7 linked regions of the Mus musculus genome follow. The protein of the gene in region 5 interacts with the protein of the main gene of each other region in a biochemical or structural test. Links are inferred from orthologs where the notes say so. Each region holds a gene or a part of one and is shown on either strand. Other genes may lie near its edges.

Region 1 (4,605 bases), on a different chromosome or scaffold from region 5:
TTTCTTTAAAAAAATATTTTAGATTTTGTGTCTGTGCTCACGTGCACACACGTGAATGAATGCAGGTGTCTCAGGGGGCCAAAGGTGTTGGATCGCTCTGGAGCTGGAATTACAGGTGGCTGTAAGCCATGTGATTCAGGTGCTGGGAACCTAACTCCAGTCTACTGGAAGAGCAGCTTGGCCTCTTAAGCTCCAGGAGGAGGGAACTTGCCAGGCAAGTGTGAGGAACAGAGCTCCAATCCAGAAACTAGTATACTAGGAGGGTACGGTGACTCACCTGTAACTCCGGAAGATAAAGATGGGATCTCCAGGGCAAGCTGGTTGGCTAGATTAACTGGAATTGGCCAGTTTTGTGTTCAATGAGAGATCTTACTTCAATATATATAAGGTGAACAGCAACTGAATACACCCAGTGTCAACCTTGGTCTTCTATACACATGTGCACCACACATGTGCCCACACATGAAAACATGCACACACACACACACCACAGATAACCAAAAATATCTTTAATGTTCTTGTCTTCTAATAGGCTACCTTATTTGTGAATGAATTATATGCTTACCCTATCATATCAGCAATCTTTAAAAGAATTCTTCTGACCTTTATCCTTCTGTTTATTATTTTAATGGTATGTATGTTTTTTTTTCCTTATATTTTTGTTTATTTAGTGCTCCCTCCCCACCCCCCACCCCTATTGAGAAAGTCTCATGGTAGGTCAGGTTAACGCTGGACGCTACATAGCCAGAGGTCAAACTTCAGATGTTTCTGCTACCTCCAGTCCAGAGCTGGGATTCCAGGTATGCACTACCTGATATATACCACATCTGTTTCATACCGTCGTGAGGTTCAATCCTAGGGTTTCATATCTGTATCTGCTCGGGGAAGCACTCTACCAATTGAGTTGCATATCCAGAGGTTGGACTTGAGGTTGATCCCCAGGATTCTACTGCTTCCGCCCACCAAGTGCTGGGATTACAGGTGAGCCACCAGGGCAGGCTGTGATGTGCTAGGGATGGAGCCCCAGGCTGTACATGCCGGCAAACATTCTGACTTGGCTACATCCCTAGCAGTTTCTTTTTTGAGACTGGATCTCACTGTGGCACGAGCTATACAGAATTTTCTAGCAGGATCTTACGCTACAGCATACTGTAGTTATCACATAACAAGGGGGCTCAGGAATCTCTCCATGGAGTTGGCACAAGTAGGTTGCGAGCGAACGGGACCCTACCACTGACCCGAACCCGTAACCCCAGGATTCAGAGGGCTTCCTAAACCTGGTCACAACCGGGACGCTTTAGCGTGCCAAGATGGCGGCCGCCCCGCCCCGCGGCCGCCGAGCCCGTTCTCCGGCTGGAGCCGACTGTTGCCGAGCTTTCCCGAAAGCCCGTGGAAGCCAGGAACGGCGCGGGCGGGCGCGCGGGCGGGCGGGAGCGGCCCCGCCCGGAGCCTGGGAGCTGCGTCGACGGCACCGAGGGGGAGGGGAGGCCGGATGTGAGTGGAGCGGCCATTTCCTGTTTCTCTGCAGTTTTCCCCAGCTTTGGGTGGTGGCTGCTGCTGCGCTTCGCCTTCCCGTGCGCTGAGGGCCCGGCGGCGTGGACAGCAGTCCCGGCACTCGGCGCCCCGCCGCCCGCAGCCTCGCCCAGCGCTTCCCGAGCCCGCCGCTTCGCGCCTCAGCCACCGGCCGCCGCCGCCGCCGCCGCGGCCCACCGAGCGGCCCAGATGCAGGCCATCAAGTGTGTGGTGGTGGGAGACGGGTGAGTGCACGGCCGCGCCTGGCGCTCCGGACCCGGTGCCGCGCGCAGCGCCATCGGGGGCCCCCGCAGGCCCGAAAAGCCTCGAGCTGGCGTAGAGCGCGCGCCCGGCCTTCTGGGGGGCGCGAGCCTCCCACCCTCCCGGGCCTGGTTCCGGATTCTGGTTGGGGGAGGGCCTGGGCGAGCCGGCCGGAGGGAAAAGTGAACTCCACCCTCCTGCCTTCTTCCCGGGCCGGACGCCGCCCGTCGCCCTACTCGACTTGGCACGTAGGCGAGGCTGGTTTGAAGAATTTTTCTTGAAACATTTTTAAAAAAAATTTTTGTCTTTTGAGAAAGGGACGTATAGTTTCTTCATTTACTCAGGGTACCCCCTCGCACCCCCCCCCCCGAGAACTGGGATAGGTAACGGCCTCCAAGTCGGCCGGCCCTGGTCGATGCATGTTTGCACCAGTCACTTGGGTGACCTGGAACTTGGGAAAGGGCTCGGTTGCTTCGACTTGACAGGGTGTTTATAAAAATATTCATTTTCACACTTACGCCGAGAAAGTTACTGGGATGCTAGCTGAAGGAGTGTGATGAAGACTGTCCATTGAACGAAGTGTGGTTATTAAAAACAAACAAACCTTCTCTGAAGGCATTAGATATGGATGTAGCAGATCCAGCTCCCTGTGACTCGAGGCAATTCTTTTCGTGATTGACCGTGATGGTTTCAGGCCCTTGAGGGAGACAAGACTGGTCTTATGCAGTCCGTCCCGTTCCCCCCACCCCTTCGGTAGAAACAAGAATCTCAGTGTAATCGGAGCAAAATCGCGCGTCTCAGCGTAGCTTGTGTAGGTTCGTGTTAACGAGGAAGCTTGGAGATTTACCACCCGTTTCCTCAAACGCAGAGTGCAACTGGTCCACTTTCTAGTTCAGTCGAGTACGTTGCCAAACTTGCTTAATGCCTTCCACACTTGCAGTGAGCACTCGCCGCCCATGGGTTTATGAGCCCGTGGATTTATGAGCGATTGTTCAGCGTATTTACAGAACTCTACATTAGACTTTGGGATCGTCCCTGTAACTAAGTCAGCCAGACGGTCAGAGAACTTTATTTTTCTGCTAACATGTCTGTCTGTGGGATTTGTCTCGGAGACAGGAAGTCTCATGGATACGGTTCAATGTATTTAACGACACACTGGAATTTCATTGAGTAGGAATGTCAATGGTGCTTTCCTTTCACCTCCTAAAAGAAAGCTTTGTCACTTGGGGCACTTAGTTTGATAGTGAAGATGTTGTATTGTGGGGCCGGGGTCTTTTTGTGTAAATCCTAGTTTCTGACTGCCTTGGTCCCAACTCCATGATTCTCCTGTTAGGAGGACATGGACATAGGCGTTGGGCTTACAGGTATGAGCCACAGGTCTGCTTTAAGTGAAGGCAAGATGGCTGGGTCTGTCTGTCTGTCTCTCTTTTTGTATTGCGGTTGAACTATAACATAGCACCTTGCTGGGGAACGTTTAAAACTTACCTGAACTTTCCTTGAAAAGTTAAAAATGTTTCACCAGCAGTTTGTGGGCTGGGGAATACTACCACATTCCTAGTGTTTTAATAAGTTAAATTGCTCTGTCACCATCCTCTTTTCCTCCCAGAGCTTAGGGACCAAGGGGAGGAAGAGAGATTATAAGAGTCAGAGGTCAGGGACACCCAGCGGAAACAGTATTTTCTAGATTCCACTTGTGAACTCAGCAGCAGCTGTATAAGATCCTAGCCCAGGGCAGAGAGGGCCTAGGCTGAGTCGAGATGGGCCCTTGATGCTTCTAGGGGTGAGCCAGTCAGTGTTCTCTATGGATGTGGTCCTTGAGGGAAACTAGCCCCAGTGTGAGGCCTCACACTGTTGAGTCTATGGATGGGCAGCACAGATTGGACTAGGTGAGTTTTTAGGGCTGGGGTGGAGTTGGAAGGAAGTAGGGATGACTATGAAAAAGTACATTGAAAGACATCTCAAGACAATTACTTTTTAAAAAGGTAAATTGCTGCTGATCCAAACCCAAACCTTAGTGCTTGGGAATTCCTAAGACCTGACATGCACATGCAGCAGGTATGCCAGCACTCATTCTGTAACCCCCACCCCCAGCTGGGCCTCAGGGCCTTAGGTTTCCTGGCACGTCTGAACAGCTGAGATACGTCTTAGCCTGTTGCTGGCTTTAAAAAGAAAATCTAGTAAAAACGTGTAGAATGCCTCCTGTAGGGTTCATTTGGATTGCCACACCTTTCTTTTTCTCCCTACATTTTTTAATGTGTATGGGTGTTTTTGTGTGTATGTCCGTGCCGTATGTTGATGCCAGCAGAGGATCTCCTGAGACTGGAGTTACTGAGATCGGTGAACCATTAGGTTGTGATAGGAGTGGAACCCAGGCCCTCTGGAAGAATGACCAGTGCTCTGAACTGCTGAGCCATCTCCAGCCCTCAGTACCCTTTTAACCTACGGAGTAATCCTCAGCATATCATTTCTTCCTCAAGAGAGATGCCTCAAGGGAAAGTTAAACAAGCCTAAATGAGATGCTGAGTATGAAGAGGCTCTTGAGTGCCCGGTCCTTGTGGAGCGCTGAGCGAGTGCTGGTTACCGTTGTTGCTGTGCTTTTCTCTTCTCCTTTTCCTTTTCTTTGAGTCCAGTGCCTATTCTCCTGAGCCGTTCCCACTTGCTTCTCGCCTCACTACCGTTGTTGGGGTTTGTTTGTTTTCACTATGAGGGTCAGTGAAGAATGTTAGACATAAAAATGCAGTTCCTGGCCATGGAGTTTTCAGTCTTGTTCTAAACAGTGTATTGTGGTGTGTGTGTTTCTGTGTGTCTCTGTGTGTGTGTGTCTGTGTGCGT
Region 2 (3,912 bases), on a different chromosome or scaffold from region 5:
GTCCCTACCTTTACTCGTAATTACTTAAGACATATATATATTTCCCAATATTATTCAACAGACTAATTACCTGATGTTCTTACCCAGTGCTTGTTACTGCTGTTTGTTATATATAGAGAGAGTCTAGCTCATAAGGAATGTTTTATTTTGTTTTTATACTTTTGGGAAGGAAACTTATGTCTAATGTGCTTAACATTATAATCTAAGAATATCATCAGACTATGACCTCTTTCTACACAAACATTCTTAGTTTGGGGAATCCTGCCCTAAAGAGAACATCCAGGACCCTCTAAAGACAAAGCCCAAGTTTATTTGAAGATGGCTCAGGTTATAAATTAACAGAGAATCGTATTTTACCTCATTCCTAATCCTAGACACATATATTCATTGGTAGTGACTGCTCCTTATTTTTTCCAGTCCATCTTTCCACTGAGAAGTAGTATCCTGAGGAGGTCCAGGTGATGAGGAAGGTCTCACTCAAATCCTCTTGTGTTGCAGACCACCTCCACTCCTAACCTAGGGTCACACTAGTAAAGTTGCTACCCTAAAAGTCATTACCCCTTGTCCATTGCCAAGTCTACTTTTTGTCCCTAGAATTTTTCCTTCCCACTGAACTAAACTATGAATTTCAGTGGATGCTCAATTCATGTTATCTAACACATGTAGCTTTCTGATAAAATGTTTTTGATTTTTTTCTAGTGTTCCATGATGCCAGACATGAAGCATCCCCTGTAATATAAATCACAGTCTTCCGTAACTCTTAACTGAACAGCTCATGTCACAGATTATACTTCTCCTCAAGAAAAACAAAGGCACTCCATATATGTGGTACTTCTCCTCAAGAAAAACAAAGGCACTCCATATATGTGGTACTTTGGGAGGTGGAGGGTTCTGAGATAAGACTCACTGTATTTTCTAGCTGGTCTAGAACTCACTGTGGAGTACAAGCTAGCCTCAGACCTTTAATCCTCCTGACTCAGCCTCCTAGGTAATGGGATTCCAGGCATGTGCTACTATCCCTGGCAACATGTAGTATGTTTTGTTTTGTTTTGTTTTGTTTAAATCACGGTCCTTTTGCCCTGAGACATCCTCTCTGATTGCTTTATAGGACACAGCACTAAGCAAGAACCAAAAGTGGTGTGTTGGAGATTCTGAGCAATCAAAATGCAACCAGACATGTCCTTGGACAATATTAAGATGGCATCCAGTGACCTGCTGGAGAAGACAGACCTAGACAGCGGAGGCTTCGGGAAGGTGTCCTTGTGTTACCACAGAAGCCATGGATTTGTCATCCTGAAAAAAGTATACACAGGGCCCAACCGCGCTGAGTGAGTTGGGGGCATAAATGGGCTTGGCTTTTTGCTAGCTGACTGCAGAAAGTAGTTATCTCCATCTGTGTGGCTAAACACAGAGGTTTGAATGAGGCTGACCTGCAGGGAGACTTGACACACTGGCTAGCTCAAGGGTGACCATAACTCTTACTACTATTTTGGATGAGGACTTTGGGGTTAATTAAAAAGATATTAATGCTTGAGAAATATACGAGGAAGACATCACTGAAGACAGAAAGCTGGGTAGTAAGGGAGGCAATGAGAAGAAAACAGCCATGGCTGCAAACACCTAAACCTGAAGTACAAAAAAAGGCCAATTCTGTCTCAGAAAAACAAACAGACAGACAGACAGCAACCCTGTAAAAGGTGGAGAGCTTCTCTTCTCCTCAGGCTAGTTTGAGAGGGGCGCCTTTTTTCTTAATGTGTTTTCCAGCTCAGTCTTCATCAGGCCAGATCGATGCTGCACTTTTTATTAGTTGATTTGCATGTTGTAACTGCCCGACTTCTAGTTCCTGAGACAAAACAGGAGGGAGGAGTTTAGATGAGGAGAAGCCTCCCTGCCTTCTAGGACCTGTCTGCCTGGAGATCAGAAAAGACCTCATTGTGACAAATGTCTGCAAATGGTGCACACACTGCAGGGACACTGGAGCTTCTTAGGCACCTGGGTAGAAGGGTTTGCCCTGCCCTGCCCTGCTCAGCCTAGCTCCTTTCCTGGCCACAGGTACAATGAGGTTCTCTTGGAAGAGGGGAAGATGATGCACAGACTGAGACACAGTCGAGTGGTGAAGCTACTGGGCATCATCATAGAAGAAGGGAACTATTCGCTGGTGATGGAGTACATGGAGAAGGGCAACCTGATGCACGTGCTAAAGACCCAGGTAGGTGGCACTGTAAGGCAGTCTGTGCTAATGTATCAGGTACTAACTGCTTTGGCGGCTTAGAGTGTAGCTTTCTGGTTGGGAATTTTGTTTTCATGGTTTGGACTTCCTTGCTTGCTTACTTGCTTTCTGGCTTTCTTTCTGTCCTTACTTTTGTTCATACATTTGTTTATTTGTTTGTTGAAACTTTTATTATTATTGAGACAGGGTCTCTCTCTGCTATATAACTCTGGCTTTTCTGCAACTCATATATAGACCAGGCTTGGATTAAAGGTGTTTGCCCCCAAATGGTCTGATAGATATATGTATAAATGATAACAAATCTGAGTTGATTGATGAAAATGTCTATGCTGTAAATGACAGGTGGTAATGAACAAAAGTGTGTGCAATGTTGTTGACTATAAGAGAAAGTGGGATATTAGCAATTGTACTTTTAAACCATTTAAGAAGTTGCTATAGGTTAAATCTAGAATATAAACCACAGCAATATAAAATGTAAAATCAGGGAAGAGATGAATTTATCAAAACTAGATAATTTTTTTAAAAAGTTTCTTTACCTGTTAGGGTCTGTGTCTTATGCTAGTTCTTCAGGAGCCCATAGCTGACATACAACACAGGCAAGTACACGAGGCAGAAGAAGCAACTGGAGCATATGATGTGATGGATGGTGTCTGATAGGCATACAGTCACCTGCTGTGGAACACAGGCAAGGTGCCCACCCCAACCTGAGCTAGGTGGGAAAGGTTTCCCGCAGAAAGGCAAGGTGAAGCAGATAACTAAGGAGTAAACATTCCAGGCACAGAGAATGACATGGAGGAAGGAATTAGGGGATGCCAGTGTGTAGAACTGCCAGTCACCAACTTTGGACAGAGCACAGATGTCATGTAAGGGGCAGCGGCATTTCTGCCTTTGTCCCAAATATTTCCCCTCCCTCCATCTCCCCATGCCTTACAACTGCACAATCAACAGATCCCTCAGAAACATGGACATGGTGGGAAGGATAAAATATGGTACACGTGGCACTGAGGTTTTACCAGATGGTTCTCTTCCCCCAAACCAGGTAAGATCAGCCATGTGACAGAAGTAGGCATTTTGATCCAGAGATAAGTCATCTGTGATGAGAGCCTTTCTGTGGGGTCAGCCAATGATAAGCTTCACAAGATAGGGACAAGAAAAGTCAAGGACCCAAGAGAAGCGGGAAGAGGTTGGGCGGGGGACAATGATACCTTCTAACAAAGCTTTCCTGAAAGTATACTGATGAAGGCAGGAACAGTCTCTGCTGCTAGTTTTAATTAATCAACTAATTTTTGCAAACAAGGGCAATGACAATGCTGCTCTCAAACTTTTGGATCCTTTTGCCTCAGCCTCCTTGGTATCTGGGACTGGAAGTTTGTGCCACCAGATCCAGCCCTCTGCTATCTTTTCTATTGTGGAAGCTGCCAATGCTGTGGTTCCATTAGAGCATGGATAGATGTGGTGTGATGACTATGGTTCCACATGCCTCGGGAATCCAAGCTCCATCCCCTGATCTTTTAGCCTGTAACCCAGTAACAGACACCTATAGGTTTTTAAGAATCATTCTGTCTGTAAGCTAGTTTTAGTATTAAGAAAAACTGAAATACTTCTAAAACAGAAACATACATCTCTTAAATGATGACATTGAGGTTGATATAATTAGAGTATAATTTTAAGAGTGACCTGAG
Region 3 (4,433 bases), on a different chromosome or scaffold from region 5:
CTCAATATGAATTGTTCCCTTTCATAAGAGATCTTGTAATTAAATGCCCCTTATCCTCTTTAAAAAAAAAAACAAAAAACAAAAAACTAAAACTAAAATGGAAGAACCACTTAAATTATAGCCCTATGAATCAAAGATCAAAGTTTGACTGTGCATTCAAGCCCCATCAATTCTCCTCCAAAAAGTACATTAGACCAAAAAAAAAGAAAAAAAAAATCTGCAGTATACGTATCATAAAAGTAACTAGAAATGTGGGGCAGCATTAGACTCAGTGGGTCACAAAAAAGAACAAGAGTTGGGAGATGGACTCACTGAGGGGAGAGCTGAGGGACAGAGGAGGGAGATAGGGTGGTCAAAATATAAAATGTTTCACATGTATGAAAATCTGAAATAAAATAATCTACAAAAATATTCCTAAGAAAACAAATCTTTTTGCAAAGATTTGTAAACTTTGTAAACTTTAGTCTTGATGGGTTTACAAGGATCACCGGAGCAGGGAATGTGTTTACTAAGCACAGGTATTGTCTCAATATGAAAACATCTTGAATTTAAATAAGAGTTTAACAGAATATAAGGCACTTTAGGGTCTTGAACAAATTGTTTAAAAACAAACTCCTTGTAAATACTCAGTTGCCAATCTCTTATGTCAAAATCAAACTAATTGTGTTTTTAATTTTTATTATTATTGTGTGCATTTATTTGTACACATACACACTGGCAAGAGTGTGAAGATCAGAAGACAGCTTTTGTTTTTGATTCTTCAAGACAGGCTGTGTAGATGAGTCTAGCCTCAAACTCAAGAGTTTGCCTCTGCCTCCCCAGGGCTGGGATTAAAGGCTAGGACCACTAAGGCCCAATGGAGAACAACTTTGGAGAGGATTCACTCCTTCCACTTTGGGTTCTGGGGGACCCAACTAAGGTAGTCAGGCCTGTTGGACAAGTGTTGTTATCCACTATACCATCTCACCAGCCCAAACTAGTTAATTAAAAAAAAAAAAATGGTGCACATATAAACCTTTTAAATATAGGCTAAAAAAAACACAATAGTAGGTAAGTATTCCAATTTTATATTCCTATATGTCACATTAAGGCTAACAAATTTTGGAAGATTTTGGAAGATTCAAGCTCCACAACTACCAACTACAGAAAGCCAATTTGAATCCACCACTCCAGTATTTTACAAACATCATTTTCTATACAAATGAGCAATAATGGGAAAAGTCTTGTTCAAACATGAGCCACCCTTACAGGGATGCACTGGATATCATTTGCTTTGCAGTGTTAATGTTCTTCAATGCTAGTGTGTACTATAATCAAAGGACACACCATTCTAGTGATCTAAAAATATTACTCAAGTTTTTAGGGTTAGAAATTAAAATCAAGGTTGGTAATTCAAGTAGCTCATTCCTGTAAGCCCAGCTCTTGAGAGGCAGAGACTAGGAGGTCCCTCTATGTTTAAGGTTAACCGGGGCTACATATGGAGACCCTGTCTCAAGATAAAAAAAAAAAAAAAATCCAAAAGCCCTTTTAATGGAAAAACTAAAGCATGCAACTTTGAAGTTGCAATCCTAACAAAGACAAATCAGGGGTATGACGAAATTCTCTTTTCACCTCATTCTTCAAACCATGCACTGAAGTTGGGTTCTTTACATCAAGTAAGTCACAATTAGTGTGGCAAAGAATTGCTCCTGCAATTCACCCGAGTATATAGCCAAGGGGTCCTTTAAAGATCATACCTACACAAGTGGCTGCAGACAGTGTATATTCCCTGACCAAAATAACTTAAACCTAAGATTTTGAACCTTCGGTATTTTAGGTGCATCTCAGGCAGCCTGAAGACAGGCAACAGGATTTCAACAACAACAAAAAAAAATTGCCACCTTACTCTGAACCAATGTGCTGGGTTGACCCACAAAGGCCGCAAGATGCTGTCTTAATTTGAATAGCCCTGACTTGTAGGAGTTAAAACTCTCACCCCTTATGCTGCGATGACGTAATCTTCCACACTGAATTTCTCCCAGAGTTAAAGGGGTGGAAAGAGGAATTTACAAAATAGTAATAATAACCGACAAAGAAAATTTCCTGCTAGGAACGAGGAACTGAGTAAGTGGCCAGGCGGGGTTTCGGGAGGTGCTTAGGCAGGTCCCGGATGGCAAAGAGGCCGGCCCCGGCAGGAGAGCCCCGGGAGCCGCGGGGCAGGAGAGGACACGGCGCGGGGCTGGAGACCGCCGAGGGGCGCAGGCGCAGAGCCGCCCGGTCCGTCACCTCGGCCCCGGCCCGGCCCGGCCCTGCGGCCGCAGTTCCGCTCCCCTCCCCCGCCAGCCGCAACGCGTCCGTGGCGGGGCCGGGGAAGCAGGAAGTCGAGGCCCACAACGGAGAGACAGCCCCCGGCCTCCGACCCCGGTCCGGACCGGGCGTCTCCCACCCCGCGCCCCGGGGCCTCGGAGCCCGCGGGCGGCCGGAGGGGGAGGGGAGCGGGTGGGATGGGTGTGCCCGGTCCTCTCGCCGCCGCCGCCGCCGCCGCCGCCGCTGACAGCTCGGCCGGGCTGTGCCCTCGGCCGCCGCCATCCCCGGCCGCGCCGCGCCGCCATTCCAGCCCTAAGCCTCGCCGCGACCCCGCCTCGCTTCCCTCAGAACCCGGGCCGGCGGGCGCACGCGACCCCGGCAAGCCCTCCCTCGCGGCCCACCGCCCGCAAGCACCGGGATGCCCCTGCCCGCGAGCATCCTCGAGAACCGAGAGAGGACGGGGGGGGGGGGGACACGCGAAGGGGACCGGGCGGCGCAGAAGACGCTCCCGCAGGGAGGCTTCTCGGGCCCCGCACTCACCTCAGCTTCTCCGCCGGGGCGTTGGCAGCACTGCGCGGGGCCTCCTCGGCTGCCGGACAGGGGCACGCGCCTGACGTCAGCACGCAGGGGACGCATGGTTGGGTGCCCGCGGAAGTGGGAGGGACAAAGAGAGAGAAGGGGCTGAGGGCGGCTCGGGCTCCGCCCCTTGGCGCGCACGCGCGCGGGCTGCGTTCCTTGCATGCTCTGGTTGGCTCTCTGCGCCTTTTAACGGTATTTTTTATCCGTAATAAAACTATGAACAATGATGTGCACGGTGTTGTAACTAAAGTTTATTTTGAGTCTTGCAACTTCGTGAAGAAAAGTGTTGTAAATATGTTTTACTTTTATATTTTTGTTTATTTTATTGAGACAGGGTGTCATTATGTAGCCCTTGCTATCCCAGAATGGCTATGTAGACCAGGCTGTCCCAGAACACAGCAATACTACTGCCTCTGCTTCCAGAGTTCTGATATTTCAAGAAATGTACTACCATGCCTGAGCTGTCTCTCTCTTTTTTGTTGTTGTTTTTTGTTTTTTGACAAGAGTTTCTTTCCATGGGTAGCCCTAGCTGTATTGAAACTTGCTGTGGAGCCCAGGCTAGCCTGGAACTCAGAGAATCCCTTGCCTCTGCTTCCTGGGTGCTGGGATTAAAGGTGTGCATCACCATACCCAGGCTACCGGGTTTGTTTTGTTTTGTTTTGTTTTTAATAACTTGAGACGTGATCTCGTTTAGCGCAGCCTGGATTTGAATGCTTAACTAGGTACCAGAGGTTGATCTTAAACTGCTAAGCCTCTACCTCCGAAGTGCTGAGCTTATAGGCGTGCCCCTCCATAGCCTGCCTCTTTGCTTCTCTGAGAGAGGAAGTGACTTGCTGTGCACAGCTTTATCTGTCTGTTTTTGGAGTGGGAGTTGAGTATCACCCTCGGTTTTGTTTAGAACTAAAGACTTTCCCCCTCAAAAAAGTCCTACATTTACTGTCCCTGAGTGCTCTCCCCTGGCCCCTTTGGTTGGATCTGACCTATCAAATCCTTCTCTTCCCTGTCATCTCGGCGCCTGTTGAATAGCTGCCTTCTCTGGCCGTGTACTAGCTGCTGGAGAATAGAGAGCCTAGCCTTCTGTCAGATGCTCCCCAACATTAGAGGAACCTTATCTCAGTAATGTTCTCTTGCGGGCTGGAGATGTAGCCCAGTCGGTAGAGAGCTTGCCAAGAATGCACGAAGCCCCACGTTAGTGCCTCTACCACATTCATAATCCAAGCTCTGAGATGGATGGCTGTAATCCCAGCACTTGGGAGGTGGAAGCAGAAAAATCTATGGTGACCCTTGGTTGCATAGAAGATTCAGAGTGTCCTAGGATACAAAACATCCATTCTCAAAAAACAGGAGGGTGTGTCTTAAGGAGGCAGAACTCTGAGACCTCAGATGTGTGCTCCTGCATCCAGCTTTATGTGGGCCCTAGGGATTCGAACTCAAGTCCTCACACCTGCGCAGCAATCACTTTGCCCTCTAAGCCACCTCCCAGCCTGCAATCTACTTCTTTCAAAGCTGTACTGTAAACATCGTTCTGTGTCGAACGAAGCCCCGCTTATAGCAAGGCTGCATTCTAC
Region 4 (3,912 bases), on a different chromosome or scaffold from region 5:
TCTGCTCATTTATTCCAAATATAAACTCTATTCAGCTTAACTAGGCAATTTGCAACTGAATTATAATTGTTGTGAAAATACTTGCACTATGAAAAGACTGTCTTCTGTTACTGCTCTTTACTTTGTGTGAAAAATAAGGACATCATATCAAAGGGCACATTTATCTGAATGTTTAGAATAAATTATCACAAATATTTATCCTGGTGAGTAGCAGCCCTAGGCCAGTGTTATGGAAACTTCATATTCTTCATTAAAATTCATTATTTTTAAGAACAATTTCAGGCATATCTGAACATTCACCATCCTGACTGTATCTGGGAATTCTTTACCTCATCATCCTCAAAAATGGTGGGATTTTTTTAAATAATTCTATATAGTTTATATACAAAGTTTGCTTACAATGTATAACTTTCTAACTTAAACAGCTATGCAGTTATCATGTGGGAAGTGTTATCCAGAAAACAGCCTTTTGAAGGTACGTATACTTTTATTCCAGAGGACATCATGTGGGTGGTACACGTCTCAACTGTCTAAACCTCACCAGATTTTAAATATACCAGCCATTCATTTTGTACACAAACTGCACTGTACAAACATAGCAGTATATCAGTTATGCATCTATTGCATACTATAAAATATACTAGATTAAGGATCAGTTATGAAGAGTGTACTTGGCTTAAAGATCAGAAAAATTTAAATTCTAGTTTTTATTCTAGCAATAACTAACCCTGTGGTCAAGCCACAAAATTTCATGACCTCATTTTTTTTATTTGCAAAATGAGAACTTATTTTCTTCGAGACAGAGGCTCACTATGTAATTCTGGCTCTCCTGGTGGAACTATGTAGACTATAGACCAAGCTGGCCTAGAACTCACATATTTGCCTGCCCCTGCCTCCCAAATGCTAAGATTAAAGGCACGTGCCATCATACCTGGTTTTATTACTATTTTCAAAATCATGATATCAATAAAATTCTGTGTGAAAATTTAATTGTTACTCCTTCTATAAATACCAACAAACATTGAAAAATAACCTTTGTCATTCCCAGATAATATTGGGGCATTTTTTTTTGAAGTTCATAATGTTGAACTTGTTACATCATGAATATCCTTAATATTTCAGTAGTTTAACAGATAGCATTTATCTCTCATTCACATTAACTGTACGTTACTGTCCCTCGTTGCCTATGCTAGGCTCTGCTGAGCTCTGCCTGTTTGGCTCTTCTCACAGAGCAAATCAAATAACTTGTCTAAATCTAGAACTCGGGAGGAGAGGCTATAAATTCCTCCTAGGAGAGGTGCACCAGGCTGAGAGTGGCTGGGACGTAAGTCCTCTTACAGAAAAGGGTATTTTGAATTAAGTTAACACTTTAAGATATCCTCATTTTGATTTGAAATGTGTTAGTAATGTCTTTCCAGTTAATGAAATACATTTGTTTTGACAGAGGTCACCAATCCTTTGCAGATCATGTACAGTGTGTCCCAGGGACATCGACCTGACACCAGTGAGGAGAATTTGCCATTTGATATACCTCATCGAGGTCTCATGATCTCTCTAATACAGAGTGGATGGGCGCAAAACCCAGATGAAAGACCATCCTTTTTGAGTAAGTGAACAGTTTTAATCTGGACCTTTGAATTATAGAAATTATGAGTATACATTAAATAAAGTATTCCTTAAAAATTCATGCCTATCTTGAAACTATTCTATACATTAATTTGCTCTTGTTGTTTGTTACATTTACATATAGGCAATGGCTACTAGAAAAAGGTTGAGAATTCCTAACAGAAAAGCGAAGTTGTTTGGTGGTAGTAACATTCCGTTCCCTTAGTGAACACCTGCCTTGTGAGCCCTCCTCACTGGGATGAGCAGAGAGAGCTAAGAATAAATGTGGCATCTTCTCAATGTAACCTTCTTCTGGAGAAAGCATGGAGGGAATGAATAAATAACTAAGACACAACTTGTCAAGTCAGTCCTGAATTAAAACAAATGGCCTCACCCATGAGAAGAATGGCAAAGGGTTTTTAGGAGCTTGTATTTGGGTTCTTGTTTCAAGCTTGAAACAGAGCCAGTCATTCTCGGACTAAATAGTCCAGCAAAGAAAACATCCAAAGTAAAGAGTCTGAGACGATAGGAAGAAAATGTTTTGTGTTTTCAAGGAAAAAAGAGGAAGCCCCTGTATTTAGAGCATAGTGAACCAAGAAGGTGGTGAAGGTGCCTTAGAGAGTAAGGGAATGGTTGCCAGCCCCTCTCAGACCTATACTCATGCGTAATGGAAAGCCATTCACTCCTGTCTCCTCTGGGAGCAATGTGATCTAATTTAAGTTTAGGTCAAAATCCCTCTTGACTGCTAGATGGGGAAGTGACTGTGTGAGAACAGAGAGAGCAGTTCGGAAACTCCCTCAGTAATTGTCCAATTCAAGTGACAGTTCTAGACACAGAAAAGTTATCCAACGTTAAGGCACATTTCAGAGGAAGAGGAAGATCAGACATCTAAGTATAAGCAGGAGGGACTCTTAAGACCTTGCTTAGGCAGAGTTCTTAGATTTGAATCCATAGGATCTAAAAAAAATGGTTTTTTTCAATAAATAATCTTGGAGATTGAACTTTTATAAATTAGAACTTTGTACTTGAATAAATACCAGCTGAGAACTGGCTTTCAGGAGAAAGTGCTTGTCATACAGGCCTGAGGAAAGGAGCTTCGATTCTCAACACCCATCAAATGCTCTACAGGTATGCCGCAGACTGCCGGTAATCCCAGCATTTAGGAGGTGGAGATCGGGGCTCCAGAACAAGCTGACTAGTGAGCGAGACTAGTGAGCTCTGGCTTCAGTGAGACCTGGCATCATGGCCTCAGTGTAGAAAGCAGAAGCAGAGCAGTCCTTTGCAGATGCACATACATGCAAACATGCAAATAAGATGCTCACATCACACACACACAGACTCTTACAAAAATAAATTAACTACAAAAACATGAAAAGACAAGCCACGGATGTTTGGAATATATTTTCATATCCTATATCAAAAGGACTTATGTCTGGAAATAAAAAAATCATTCTGTCTAATCCAATAATAAGACTAATAGCAGTTTTAAAATTATAGATTAGGATTCTACCAAAGAAAATATACAGTTGACTAAAAAGCATATAAAGGTGTTGTTCATATCACTAGAAAATACAAACGGAGAGATCGCAATACAAACCCATTAAAACGGCTATGGTTAAAAATGACAGATAATTTGCAAATTCGTCTGGAATAACAAAAAACCTAGGATAGCAAAAAGTCTTCTCAAGGATAAAAGAACTTCTGGTGGAATCACCATGCCAGACCTAAAGCTTTACTACAGAGCAATTGTGATAAAAACAGCATGGTACTGGTATAGAGACAGACAAGTAGACCAATGGAATAGAATTGAAGACCCAGAAATGAACCCACACACCTATGGTCACTTGATCTTCGACAAGGGAGCTAAAACCATCCAGTGGAAGAAAGACAGCATTTTCAACAATTGGTGCTGGCACAACTGGTTGTTATCGTGTAGAAGAATGCGAATCGATCCATACTTATCTCCTTGTACTAAGGTCAAATCTAAGTGGATCAAGGAACTTCACATAAAACCAGAGACACTGAAACTTATAGAGGAGAAAGTGGGGAAAAGCCTTGAAGATATGGGCACAGGGGAAAAATTCCTGAACAGAACAGCAATGGCTTGTGCTGTAAGATCGAGAATTGACAAATGGGACCTAATGAAACTCCAAAGTTTCTGCAAGGCAAAAGACACCGTCAATAAGACTAAAAGACCACCAACAGATTGGGAAAGGATCTTTACCTATCCTAAATCAGATAGGGGACTAATATCCAACATAATAAAGAACTCAAGAAGGTGGACTTCAGAAAATCAAATAACCCCAT
Region 5 (3,912 bases):
TGTTATACTAAATGTCTACTGGGTTGTGATATAAACAGGGTTTTATGGGTTATAATGAAGATGATTTGAAAGTCACTCCTATAGAATAGTCAGTTTATTTTTGATATGAAGTACTTAAAAATAGTTTTTGTTTCACATTTTAGGTGTGAGTTCTTGATACGGATGAAGGGTCAGGAGTTTGTTGATGAGATTCAAGCTAGATATCCTCATCTTCTTGAGCAGGTAAACTGATTTTAACATTTACGTGAAAGCGGGGAGATGGCTCATTTGATAAAGTTCTTACTATGAAATATGATGATGCCCTGAACTGAGATCCCAGCACCACATACAGAGCTGGTGTGGGAGCATGCATCAGTAACCCTAGGATGTTGGAAACAGGTGACCCCTGGAGGTCACTGGCCAGGCCATTCAGTGAGTTCCAGGTTAAATGAAGCGGAGACCTTGTCTTAAAAACACACCTGTGTTCACCTTTGTCCTCCACATGTGTGTGAGCACATAGATGCACACACCTATGTGGCCAGGTTCATATATTCTACATATACAGACAAAAGTACAGCATTGAACTATACTATGAAATAATAATTACAGAAATCTTAGAAGAGACATTTATTTGTATTTCATTTACATAATTTTAAGGCAAAATTGAAGTTTATTAAATTTTTATAGCATTTTAAGCACTGTAGTTAAGAAAAAAAGTACTTAGAAAGAAAGACCCGCCTAGTTTGGGTGTGTGCTTAGAAGAGCTGGCGTTCAAGTTACATGGCCTGTAGCCACAGTAACGGCATTCTTGACAGTTTTGTTGGTAGCTTGCTGTTCAGGGTTCTTTATAAATATTGTTTTTTACTTTTGCCTTTTTGAAAAATCTTATATCCTGCTACTGTACAGAGGTTTTTGTTTGTTTGCTTTGTCTTTATATGGGGTTAAAGAGGTATTGTCAATGTCTCTAGTCTCTTCTAGAAAAAAACAAAAACTTGTTGAGAGTTAAAGCCTTGGAAGAGTTACTCATGAAATCCCACTTTCCAAATGGAATGAGATGGCACTATTGTATCTTCCTGGTCTCTAAAATAGAAGCCACACTGGAGTTTTAACTTGGATGTAGATAAATGTGTAAGCATAACTGTATGATAAGCATGATGAAGCAAAACAAAGTAAAGTATATGTGTGTTTATTTTAGAGTTTTGGGACAGGGTTTCTTGTATCTGAGGGTTGACTTGAACTCCTGGTCTTCTTGCCTCAGACTCCTAAGTGTTGAAATTATAGGAGTGTGCTAGCATACCTGGAGTTTCCAAAAGGATGCGTCCCTTTACTTAAATGTCTGTTTGCTTGGCTGTGGTGGCTCACTCCAGTAATCCCGATACTTGGAAAGCTGAGGCAGGAAGATTTCCATGAGTGCTAGGCCAGTGTCAGCAACAGAGTGAGATCCCCAACTGTGCTGTTTAGAATGTTAGAGATTTCTGACTTAGCTGTCAAGTGTTCTCTTATTTCATAGCTGTTGTCCACTTCAGACACCCCAGGAGAAGAAAATGCTGACCCTACAGGTAAGTAGGAATAGTTCAAATACAACTATGAATTTTTGTAAGAATGTTAAGAGTAAAAGTATATTAGTGAAAAGGGTGGTAACGTTTCTGAAGTCATAGGGGCAACTTTGGGATGTTAACTAGAAAATGTATGCTTTTACTGAGATTCCTGACATTTATGATACTATTATTATTTAAAGAGCTGACATATGAGCATATGAAGTGACGAGACACATGCAGAAAACAGCTTGAAGCATACCGAATGAAAGCTTTACCTCCAGTGGGGAGACGGTCACTGTGCCTAGAATGTGTTAGAAGAGGCTGCAGGTGGTGCTGGAGATAGAGTAGTGATTGGGTGCAGGGGGCTCTGTATGAGAGCTGAGTTTAGCCAGCTCTCAGTAGTTACATGTGTTGTGGTTAAATAACGGTCACGGTATGTGCTGGTCATATCACAAGGGGAGTGCTGGTTCTGCTTCACCATTTGGAGAGAGGCATTGGCAGCTTTGCAGCCGGTACAGAGAAACGTGACCAAGATATTTAAAAGTCGTAGAAACCTTGACTACATAGTAGATAGGGGCTTAGTCATGGAAACTATGCTCCAGGGGGTAAGGCACTGGGGTCATGTGTGAGAGGAAGGAGTACCTCAGTATGTGGTAACTGCCTGTATAAGGAACTGGACAGGGTGAAGTAGTAGACAGCTGCTCTTAGTCAGTGTTAATGTAGGCTGGAACCCAGAGCACTCTGTGCCACGCTGCACCATGCTATACATCTTGCTTTTGTTTTCCTTATAAAATCTCTTTGCCTATTGTACTGGCTAGTTTTGTGTCAACTTGACACAGCTGGAGTTATCACAGAGAAAGGAGCTTCAGTTGAGGAAATGCCTCCATGAGATCAAACTGTAAGGCATTTTCTCAATTAGTGATCAAGGGGGAAAGGCCCCTTGTGGGTGGGACAATCTCTGGGCTGGTAGTCTTGGGTTTTATAAGAGAGCAGGCTGAGCAAGCCAGGGGAGGCAAGCCAGTAAAGAACATCCCTCCATGGCCTCTGCATCAGCTCCTGCTTCCTGACCTGCTTGAGTTCCAGTCCTGCATCCTTTGGTGATCAACAGCAGTATGGAAATGTAAGCAGAATAAACCCTTTCCTCCCCAACTTGCTTCTTGGTCATGATGTTTGTGCAGGAATAGAAACCCTGACTAAGACACCTATCTTCATAATGATTGTTGCACATTGTTTCTTTATAGATTGCTGCTTTTAATTTATAAAATTATTTTTAAAGGAATATATGAGAGATTGTGCGTGTATGGTGTATATCTAGATGTGTTTCACAGTACACATGTAGAGATCAGAAGACAACTTCAGGAATCAGTCTTCTCTTGGGTTCTGGGGATCAAATTCTGGCTTGCCTGGGAAGTGCTTTTGTACTTCTTTCCCCATTCATAGGACAGCACAGAGAAAGTAGGAGAGCGAAGAGAACTTCTTTCTTTCTCTTAGAACCACTTGACTCTGTTCTTCTTTCTTCCCTTCTTCTCATATTTCCCCTCCTTTCTTTTTTCATTCATTTTTCATACAGGGTCTTATAATATGCCCCCGGCTGGCTTTGAACTTTGGATCCTCTGGCCTAAGGCTCTGAGCACCGTATTACAGGTATTACAGGCCACCTCACCTGGCCTTGTCCACTGGATTATGTCACCTCCTGCTAATCTGGAAATGTTGCTTTGATAATGACAAGAGTCACTGGAAACTGCTGGAGTGAATCCTTCTGGGCACATCCTCAGCTGGCCCTGAGCTTGGGATGCTCCTGCTCCTCTGCCACAGGGCAGGGCTGATGGAAGCACGCTGCCGCACACTGAGCTTTTGTCCTCTACACACCAGCTTTGGGGACTTCCCTGACGCCACTCTTTTAGGTGTTTTTCCAGTTTGTTAGGATGATTTTGAACCGTTTCTGCTGCTAGTTCCTTTTTCATATTCCTACGTGGTAGACTACTAAACGAGTGTACTTTATTATGCTCAGGTCAGATGCAGTCCAGGCTGGAATGTTCAATTACCTGTGTAAATCTTAGAGGTGCTTCCAGTTTGGGCTACAATAGCTGTCTCAGCAAATATGTCAAAGCACTAGGTTTCCTCTGATTTCATTCTTCAGATGTTTTTCTCTGACCTTCCCCATCTCAGTTCATAACACCCAGTTACAGAACCAACTGGGCTATCTCCTGAGAAATGCTCTGCCTTCACAGCATGTCCTGATACTGTCTCTTAGTCCATGCTACCCTGGTCTATCTTGTAGACCAGTTGTTCCTGATCCCAAATCCATCTGTGCAGCATCACCAGTTACCTTTGGAATAGCTCTCTGCTTAAGTTCCTCCTACAATATTCTGGCAAACTTAGGGTGATGTGGACA
Region 6 (3,912 bases), on a different chromosome or scaffold from region 5:
TGTGGTTTTGTTTCTACTTCTCTGCTGTACCTTCTGCCTCCCCAGGCATCCCGCTGCCTTCTCTGGCATATCTGCTTTGGTTTTTGATAGATGATTCTTCATTCTGTATTGTTTTCTTTTTACTTGATAGTGTGTCTCCAAATCGTTTGTATCTAATTCAGCTGTGTCATTCCATGGCATGTTTGTGCTATTGTTTTCTTACCTGGCTCCTTGGTGGGTGTTTGTTGACTGATCAAGCATTTTACTGAGCCCGTGCCAGTCTTACTCTAAGCCTACCTGGGGAGCAGAGCCACAGAGGAAAAGGAGCTTGCCAGCTTCTCACAGAATAGTGGTGGCAACAGATTGTCTTGAGGGTTAGGGCTGATGGATGGGTTGGGGGCGCAAGGACTGCTAATTCTTCACTGGCTTCCCACAGAGGCAGCCACACCATGGTGGGGATTGGTAAGCGGCTTGAAGGCCTGACCCAGGACCTGCAGCAACTGCAGGAGAGTGAGCAGCAGCTGGATCACCTGATGCACATCTGTACCACACAGCTGCAACTGCTTTCGGAGGACTCCGACACCCAGCGATATCCTTGGATTGGTCAGGGTGCATTGAAGGCCGACTTGGCCAGTGGTGGCGCCGCACTACTGAGACTATAGAGGTTACCTAGGGCTCTGATGATAAAAAATTCTGGCTTTGGAAACAAGACCTGGCTCTACATTGACTTACCATGTGACACCGAACAAGTTACTTGGATTTTATGGGCCTCAGTTTCACCTATAAAAGAGAGGACAGTAATATCTATTTCCAAAATTGTACATATTAATAGAAAAATAGCCAGGGCTGTGGTGGCGTGCACCTTTAATCCCAGCACTTGGGAGATAGAGGCAGGCGGATCTCTGAGTTTGAGGGCAGGCTGCTCTACAGAGCCAGTTTGCTGTCTCAAAAAAAAAAAAAAAAAAAAAAAAAGAGAAAGAAAAACGCTGGGCATGGTGGCGCACGCCTTTAATCCCAGCACTCGGGAGGCAGAGGCAGGCAGATTTCTGAGTGTGAGGCCAGCCTGGTCTACAGAGTGAGTTCCAGGACAGTCAGGGCTATACAGAGAAACCCTGTCTCAAAAAACAAAAATAAAATAAAATCTGACATTCTCTTCTGCTGTCTGAAGACAGCTATAGTATACTTATATATAACAAATAAATCTTTTTTTAAAATCAAGTAATACATTTTAAAAGAAGCCAAGGACTGGAGAGATGGCTCAGCAGTTAAAAGCATTTGTTACTCTTACAGAGGACCCAAGTTCAATTCCTTGCATGTACATGGTGGCTCACAGCTATCTGTAGTTCTAGTTATAGTGCATTTATGCCCTCTTCTGACCTCCAAAAGCACTAAGTGCTTGTGTGGTGCACATACAGGTATGGAAACCACTCATATACAGAAAAGACCAGGCTGAGAACAGGGATACAGACTCTGGGGGAGCAGAGCCATGGGGATATCTGAACTCAGGCTGCTCTGGTCCACATGCTAGGCTAGCCAGGGCTACCCAGTGAGACCCTGTCTCAACCAAAGAAGGAAAGCCCAGTGTGGTGGTATATACTTGTAATCCCAGGGCCAGGGATGAGGCAGAAACTAACACTGAAGGCCAATTGAGGTTATAGAGTAAGACATGCAACATAAGCATAGGTCACTGGATTACACAGACCCTGTCACCAAAGAGTGACAAACCTTTCCTTGGTCATTAATTTAGTTCCCGATTGTAGCTTCAAAGTTAAGACTTTAATTCACAAAAAGAAACTATTAGAAAGTGTGCCTTTTAGTGAATATCATTATCAGTAAGATTGTCAAAATCCATTTCCCAGTCCAGACCTGTTGAGCATTTGATATGAAATTATTACAGGCAGCCATGAGTTTGGAATTGGATGGGTAGATAGTCTCACTGTTGAGAAAGTTGAAGTTTAGTAATGAGATTCTGGGCAGCTACTATGGGCCAGGTGGTGGGATGAGGGTGTCAAAAAGGAGTGACTGGGGAGGCGTATGTGAGTCAGTGGTCCTTGACTCCCCCAACCCTGGCCTATGTGACCTGCCAGGACCTTCGCAGCATTGCAGACCCTGCAGAACAGATGGTCATAGTGATCAAGGCCCCTCCTGAGACCCAACTACAAGCTGTGGATTCTTCAGAGGTGAGACTAAGGACCCTAAGCCTTTCCAAGACAGGGAGGCTGGGCTGGTGCTCACCTAGGCCTTACCTATCTATCCTGCCTGCTGCCTCCACCCAGACATTTCAGATCTCCCTTAAGAGCAAACAAGGCCCCATTGATGTTTTCCTGTGCCCGGAGGAGAGTGCAGACGGGATTAGCCCTGGGAAGACCTCATGCCAGGAGACATCCTCTGGGGAGGACCGGACTGCAGACTCTGGCCCAGCAGGGCCTCCACCATCACCTCCCTCCACATCCCCAGCCTTGGATCCCAGTCAATCCCTGTTGGGCCTGGAGCAAGGTAGGTAGGGCCAGGGTTTGTAGTATTTGGCAGGCACTCATGGCAGCCCCTCTCCTGCTGGGCCTCTCCTAACTTGTAATGCCTCCTTTCTCCAGAAGCAGTATTGCCACGGATGGGCCACCTGAGGGTCCCTATGGAAGAGGACCAACTGTCACCACTGGTGGCTGCTGACTCACTCCTGGAGCATGTTAAAGAAGACTTCTCTGGGCTCCTCCCTGGGGAGTTCATCAGCCTCTCCCCACCCCACGAGGCCCTTGACTATCACTTTGGTCTCGAGGAGGGTGAGGGCATTAGAGATCTCTTTGACTGTGACTTTGGGGACCTGACCCCTCTGGATTTCTGACAGAAGCCTAGGGATTCAGGGTGTCTGGAGATGCCCACCTGTCTGCAGCTTTGGAGCCTCCTGCCCTGGGCCATCCTTCCTGCCTCATTGGAATAGCACGATCCATACCCTCTGTCCCAATAGCTTCTAGCTCTGGGGTTTGGTTGCTGCCACATTGAGCAGACCAAAATGGGAAGGATGTTGTACAGTGTGTGTGCATGCACCCCACACTGCGCACTGTGTGCCTGGGGTGTGTGTCTGAGTGTGTGTGTGTGTGTGTGTGTGTGAGTGTGTGTGTGTGTGTGTGTGAGTGTGTGTGTGTGTGTGTGTGTGTGTGTGTGTGTGTGTGTGTGTGTATGTATGTGTATGTGCACGTGTGCCCGGGAATGAAGGTGAACACATCTGTATGTGTGCTGCAGACACATCCTGGTGTGTCCACATGTGTGCATGGATCCATGTGTGCGCATTGGGGTGGGGGTGGGCTCTAACTGCACTTTTGGTGTCCTTGCTGCAGGGGCCCTGTGAGGCCCAGGGTGGCTGCCTGCTTTCAGAATCCTGTGTGTCAGCCAGGCCGGGTGGTACAGCTTGCCTGGCTGGGTTTGCAGGGCAGCAAGAGCACTGCTTAAAAGTTTTCCGATCGAAGCTTTAATGGAGCGTTTATTTATTTATCGAGGCCTCTGGCAAGCCTGGGGGGATAAGCAAAGGGTGGGGGGCATGGGTGATACCTTAAGTCCCTGTTCTCTGAAGCAAGGGCAGGATCCCTACCCAAGAGTTGCTGAGGCCCAAGCAGTTTATTTATTGGGAAAGGGAGAGGGAGACAGACTGACAGCCATGGATGGGCTGGAGAAACAGTCCCTTTGTACCAGTACTCCAGCCGCATGTATCCAGGGGATCTGAGATGGGGAGGGTACGTGAGGGCCTTGGCTGACTGCGGCCAGGAGGGGTGGGTATGCGTCCTTCCTATGGCTGGAGTGCTCCTCTGCTGTCCTCCCCACCCTCCAGTCTGCACTTTGATTTGTTTCCTAACAGTTCTGTTCCCTCCTGCTTTGATTTTAATAAATGTTTTGATGGTGTTAGGGCTGGGTTTGAAACTCTCCGCCAGCCAGAGTGAGGCT
Region 7 (3,912 bases), on a different chromosome or scaffold from region 5:
CAGGTAACTGTGAAGGTAGAGTCTAGCTAGAATGCCAGGAGCTTGGGGCTTTGTCTATGTGACTGATAGTCACAGAATTATGGAGTTGGGAGCTCTGTGCTGTCAGGCACCTGTCTCTGGGATTGTGGCTCACTATTCTGTCCCTTGTAGAGTTTTCTACTGGGTCTCTGGAGCAAGACTCGCGCAACCAAAACAGGCTGCCTTTCACTGTCCCAAGAGTAAAGATCGTGTACACACATGCTAGCTCACACACACACACACACACACACACACACACACACCCCTACAGCGAAGAGAGCTCTGTGACTCAGAGTTACTGCTGCTGTTGAAGTGTGCCGGGTGATGTCAGGCTGGGTATGAGCGTCTGTGACCTGCCAGGAACTTAAGGGGCTGATTGTTATGAACCCTGACAGAACCTATCCAAAGCCACCGGAGCTGGAGCAGAAGCTCTGAGGTCAGGGGCTTTGGTTTCTTCTTGTTGGTTACTTGGTCTCTGGAAGGAGGCCATCCGTAGAGTTGACACTCATGTGTCGGATTACACTATCACGTTGATGGTGCAGCAACTCTGGAGCTTAAACTCGCAAAACTGCTCACCCTACCTTTAATTCATTACGTGCTATGTCACCTGAAAATGCTAAAAGACAGAGGGCCACAGTTTATAGAGTGCTGCTCATGTGTGAAGACCTGCGTTCAGCCCCTAACACCCACATACAGAGCCAGGAGCCTCGACACACACTTGAGACTGGTGGATCCTTGGGGCTCACTGGCCGACCAGCCTACCCTGACGGGGAGATCCAGGCCAGCGAGAGAGCCTGGCTAATAACACAAGAGGACAGAGTCTAGGGAATGACGTCCAAGGTTGACCTGTGTGTGCGCACACGCACAGACTTGTCCCACACGTGGACACACACACAATCACAAGGCTAAGACGCCACTCTGCATCTCTGTTTTTCTGGTTTGGTTTTCCTCCTAGATGACCGATGATCAGGACTGTGCTGCGGAGCTGGAAAAGGTGGATTCTTCCAGCGAAGACGGAGTTGACGCCAAGCCAGACCGCTCCTCTATCATCTCCTCTATTCTCTTGTAAGTTCTCCTCTTGGCTCATCACCCCCCTCAGCCACTTAGACCCACTTCACACCCGATGGGAGGGGACACTCAGGAAAGGAGGTTTGTGTTGGACCTTCTAGCTTAGGCAGGTCCAGGAAGGCTGCGCTGCACTGTGTGGGCTCCTGCTCACAGCTGCATGTTTGAGGGGCAGCCTGCTCTCATCCGAGCAAGGCTGGGGGCTGCTGATGCCTGTCGGTAAGGAACATGGCTGCTGAATGGCAGAGTATGGGTTGTAGGAATAGCAGGTACCAGGGCAGCTTGCTCAGGGGTGAAGCTAGACCCCTCCGTGTTCAGGCCCCTAGCTTTCCTGAGTCCATGTTGTATTCTACATCTGCCATGTATGAATAATCACACCTTCATTTATCATTTGTATCATCACATTTAACCCATGTGTATTCCCGGGGGATGGGTCCCTCGTCGATGCCATCTGGCGGGTTGGGGAAACTGAGGCACTAAGGCTTCATCACTTTTGTGACGGGTCAATAATAGATGGTTGTGCTGAAACTAGTGTCCAGACTGTACAGCGGCACTCACATGAAGGGATCTCTAGTTAAAAAGAGGGCTGGCCAGCAAGGTGGCCCAGTGTTTCAAGCCTGCTAACTGGATGGGATTTATCCCCTGAAGCCTCAAGGTAGAAAGAACCGACTTCCCCCAAGTTCTTTGACTGCCACAAGTACACAAATAAGTAACGTAATTTCGGCGGAGGGCTTCAGGGGAGCAGAGGACCCTCCTCGCACCTTCTTTTGGTCGGGGACATTTATGGCATTCCCTGAGGGTCAGGCACACCCCTCTGCTTTACGTGGTAATCCCCACCCCCATCTACAGCGTCACCTTCTGATGTTTCGATTGCTCTTCAACCATGGTCTGAAATTGTTAAATGGAAAACTCCAGAAATACGAACGCACATTGCTCATCCCACGTGGTGCGGTGGAATCTGCTGTCACGACACTGTCCCATGCAGTCATGTGTCATCCCTCTGTGGAGGATGTTACCAAGTCGTCGCTTGGGCTATGACAGCACTGTGCTCAGGGCATCCTGTTTTATTTAATATTGCCTCCAAAGGGTCGGTTCTTTTTTTTTTTTTTTTTAAAGATTTATTTATTTATTATATGTAAGTACACTGTAGCTGTCTTCAGACACTCCAGAAGAGGGCATCAGATCTTGTTACAGATGGTTATGAGCCACCATGTGGTTGCTGGGATTTGAACTCCTGACCTTCGGGAGAGCAGTCGGGTGCTCTTACCCACTGAGCCATCTCACCAGCCCCCAAGGGTCGGTTCTTAATGCTGCGGTTCCTACATGCCCAAAGGAGGGTGCACACAGAGTTCTTTCTTGAAGCGGGAGTTCTCAGCCAGCGAGGAAATGAAAGCCTGGGCTCAAGTTGCTGGGCTCTGCTGTAAGAATGGACTTTTTCAGGGGCCTGTGTGGTTACTCACTTACTGTGCAAGTGAGATGACCAGAACTGAAATTCCCAGAACTCATGTAGTAGGTGGGTGGTGGCTTGCCCATAGTTCCAGCCTTCCTTGGCAGAGGCAGAGGAATCCTCAGAGCAAGCTGACTGGTGAGACTAGCTCTGGAGTTGAATGAGACATTCTACCTCATTGAAGAAGGTGGACAATAGATAATTCCTGGCATCAGCTGAAGGTCTCAACAGACACACACCAGTTGCAAACATGCCTTCACATACATGCACCCAACATACACAGGCACGTCTCACACACACACACACACACACACACACACACTGTATGAGAAAGGAAAGGGAAAAAGAAGGAAGGCTTTTTTTTTTTTTTTTTTTTTTTTCTGAGACAGGGTTTCTCTGTATAGCCCTGGCTGTCCTGAACTCACTCTGTAGACCAGGCTGGCCTCGAATTCAGAAATCCGCCTGCCTCTGCCTCCCGAGTGCTGGGATTAAAGACGTGCTGTTGTGAGGTTGTAAACAAAGGAGATGTACTAGGATGCTGTGCCGCTCACCTATGAGCCTGTGCGCCATGATGGTGACCTCTTCATGGTAGAAAAGGCACAGGACAATAGGGATTGGTATTGCCTGTGGTTTGGAGGTCCTATCAGTGGTCCTGGAACGCACACCCCCCTGGTAAGAAGGAACCACAGTGCTTCCTAAGCCATTCTCACTGGACACAGACCGCAAGGGCATGATGGACTCTGGGCAGCGCTCGGGAAAGGGAGAGCTGACTCACGAGGCTTCCCCTGAAACCCTCCAGAGACAGCTGCAGGTCATACCATCCCAGACGAAAATAGCACTCAGGAGAGTAGTCCCCAGTGCAGCGGGCTTGAATTTCAGTGGGTGTCACCTGAGTTCAGGAATAATCCACTGGAGTTCCAAGCTTTCAAAAGCTTGGTGAATTGGCCTAGGCTAGCCTGTTTCCCAGAGAAAGCCATTTAGAGGAGTAGCCTTCAAGTGTTAAATGTCACATTCTGACACTGCACCCCTGTACAGCGTAAGCTGCTATTATTTGTTTGTTTTTACAGAAATGCTCTCTATAGTTCCCAGCTTTTTTTTTTTTTTTTAAATGTATGTGGGTACACTGTCGCTGTCTTCAGACACACCAGAAGAGGGCATCAGATCTCATTATAGATGATTGTGAACCACCATGTGGTTGCTGGGAATTGAACTCCGGACCTCTGGAAGAGCAGGAGGTGCTCTTAACCACTGGGCCATCTCTCCAGTCCGGCATAACTATTTAGATAGTGTAAAAATGATTACTAATATTATGTATTAATGCTGGAGATTAATATGGCAGCAGTTTATTAATATTCTGTATATATTAATGCTGGAAATTGAAG

The links.
Region 1: the proteins of Birc2 (region 5) and Rac1 form a complex in vitro, tested with the Homo sapiens proteins (2 studies listed by BioGRID and IntAct, with this or other methods). The link is inferred for Mus musculus from reciprocal best matches to the Homo sapiens genes BIRC2 and RAC1.
Region 2: of the proteins of Birc2 (region 5) and Ripk1, one has a biochemical effect on the other in vitro, tested with the Homo sapiens proteins (6 studies listed by BioGRID, with this or other methods). The link is inferred for Mus musculus from reciprocal best matches to the Homo sapiens genes BIRC2 and RIPK1.
Region 3: the proteins of Birc2 (region 5) and Cdc42 form a complex in vitro, tested with the Homo sapiens proteins (2 studies listed by BioGRID, with this or other methods). The link is inferred for Mus musculus from reciprocal best matches to the Homo sapiens genes BIRC2 and CDC42.
Region 4: the proteins of Birc2 (region 5) and Ripk2 form a complex in vitro, tested with the Homo sapiens proteins (4 studies listed by BioGRID, with this or other methods). The link is inferred for Mus musculus from reciprocal best matches to the Homo sapiens genes BIRC2 and RIPK2.
Region 6: the proteins of Birc2 (region 5) and E2f1 form a complex in vitro, tested with the Homo sapiens proteins (2 studies listed by BioGRID, with this or other methods). The link is inferred for Mus musculus from reciprocal best matches to the Homo sapiens genes BIRC2 and E2F1.
Region 7: the proteins of Birc2 (region 5) and Casp7 form a complex in vitro, tested with the Homo sapiens proteins (2 studies listed by BioGRID, with this or other methods). The link is inferred for Mus musculus from reciprocal best matches to the Homo sapiens genes BIRC2 and CASP7.

Annotation. Positions count from the first base shown.
Region 1 is NC_000071.6:143,524,915-143,529,519, reverse strand, and holds the start of Rac1 (ras-related C3 botulinum toxin substrate 1), read left to right. Parts: upstream 1-1,526; 5' UTR 1,527-1,722; coding exon 1,723-1,757; intron 1,758-4,605. UniProt on the Homo sapiens protein: Plasma membrane-associated small GTPase which cycles between active GTP-bound and inactive GDP-bound states.
Region 2 is NC_000079.6:34,008,493-34,012,404, forward strand, and holds part of Ripk1 (receptor-interacting serine/threonine-protein kinase 1), read left to right. Parts: intron 1-1,108; 5' UTR 1,109-1,164; coding exon 1,165-1,328; intron 1,329-2,052; coding exon 2,053-2,209; intron 2,210-3,912. UniProt on the Homo sapiens protein: Serine-threonine kinase which is a key regulator of TNF-mediated apoptosis, necroptosis and inflammatory pathways.
Region 3 is NC_000070.6:137,354,820-137,359,252, forward strand, and holds the start of Cdc42 (cell division control protein 42 homolog), read right to left. Parts: upstream 2,941-4,433; 5' UTR 2,827-2,940; intron 2,820-2,826; exon of another isoform or gene 1,976-2,819; intron 1-1,975. UniProt on the Homo sapiens protein: Plasma membrane-associated small GTPase which cycles between an active GTP-bound and an inactive GDP-bound state. In active state binds to a variety of effector proteins to regulate cellular responses. Involved in epithelial cell polarization processes.
Region 4 is NC_000070.6:16,135,768-16,139,679, reverse strand, and holds part of Ripk2 (receptor-interacting serine/threonine-protein kinase 2), read left to right. Parts: intron 1-425; coding exon 426-475; intron 476-1,444; coding exon 1,445-1,606; intron 1,607-3,912.
Region 5 is NC_000075.6:7,823,241-7,827,152, reverse strand, and holds part of Birc2 (baculoviral IAP repeat-containing protein 2), read left to right. Parts: intron 1-143; coding exon 144-222; intron 223-1,489; coding exon 1,490-1,538; intron 1,539-3,912. UniProt on the Homo sapiens protein: Multi-functional protein which regulates not only caspases and apoptosis, but also modulates inflammatory signaling and immunity, mitogenic kinase signaling, and cell proliferation, as well as cell invasion and metastasis.
Region 6 is NC_000068.7:154,559,594-154,563,505, reverse strand, and holds part of E2f1 (transcription factor E2F1), read left to right. Parts: intron 1-415; coding exon 416-568; intron 569-2,044; coding exon 2,045-2,159; intron 2,160-2,255; coding exon 2,256-2,475; intron 2,476-2,570; coding exon 2,571-2,818; 3' UTR 2,819-3,912. UniProt on the Homo sapiens protein: Transcription activator that binds DNA cooperatively with DP proteins through the E2 recognition site, 5'-TTTC[CG]CGC-3' found in the promoter region of a number of genes whose products are involved in cell cycle regulation or in DNA replication.
Region 7 is NC_000085.6:56,403,443-56,407,354, forward strand, and holds part of Casp7 (caspase-7 precursor), read left to right. Parts: intron 1-973; coding exon 974-1,083; intron 1,084-3,912. UniProt on the Homo sapiens protein: Thiol protease involved in different programmed cell death processes, such as apoptosis, pyroptosis or granzyme-mediated programmed cell death, by proteolytically cleaving target proteins.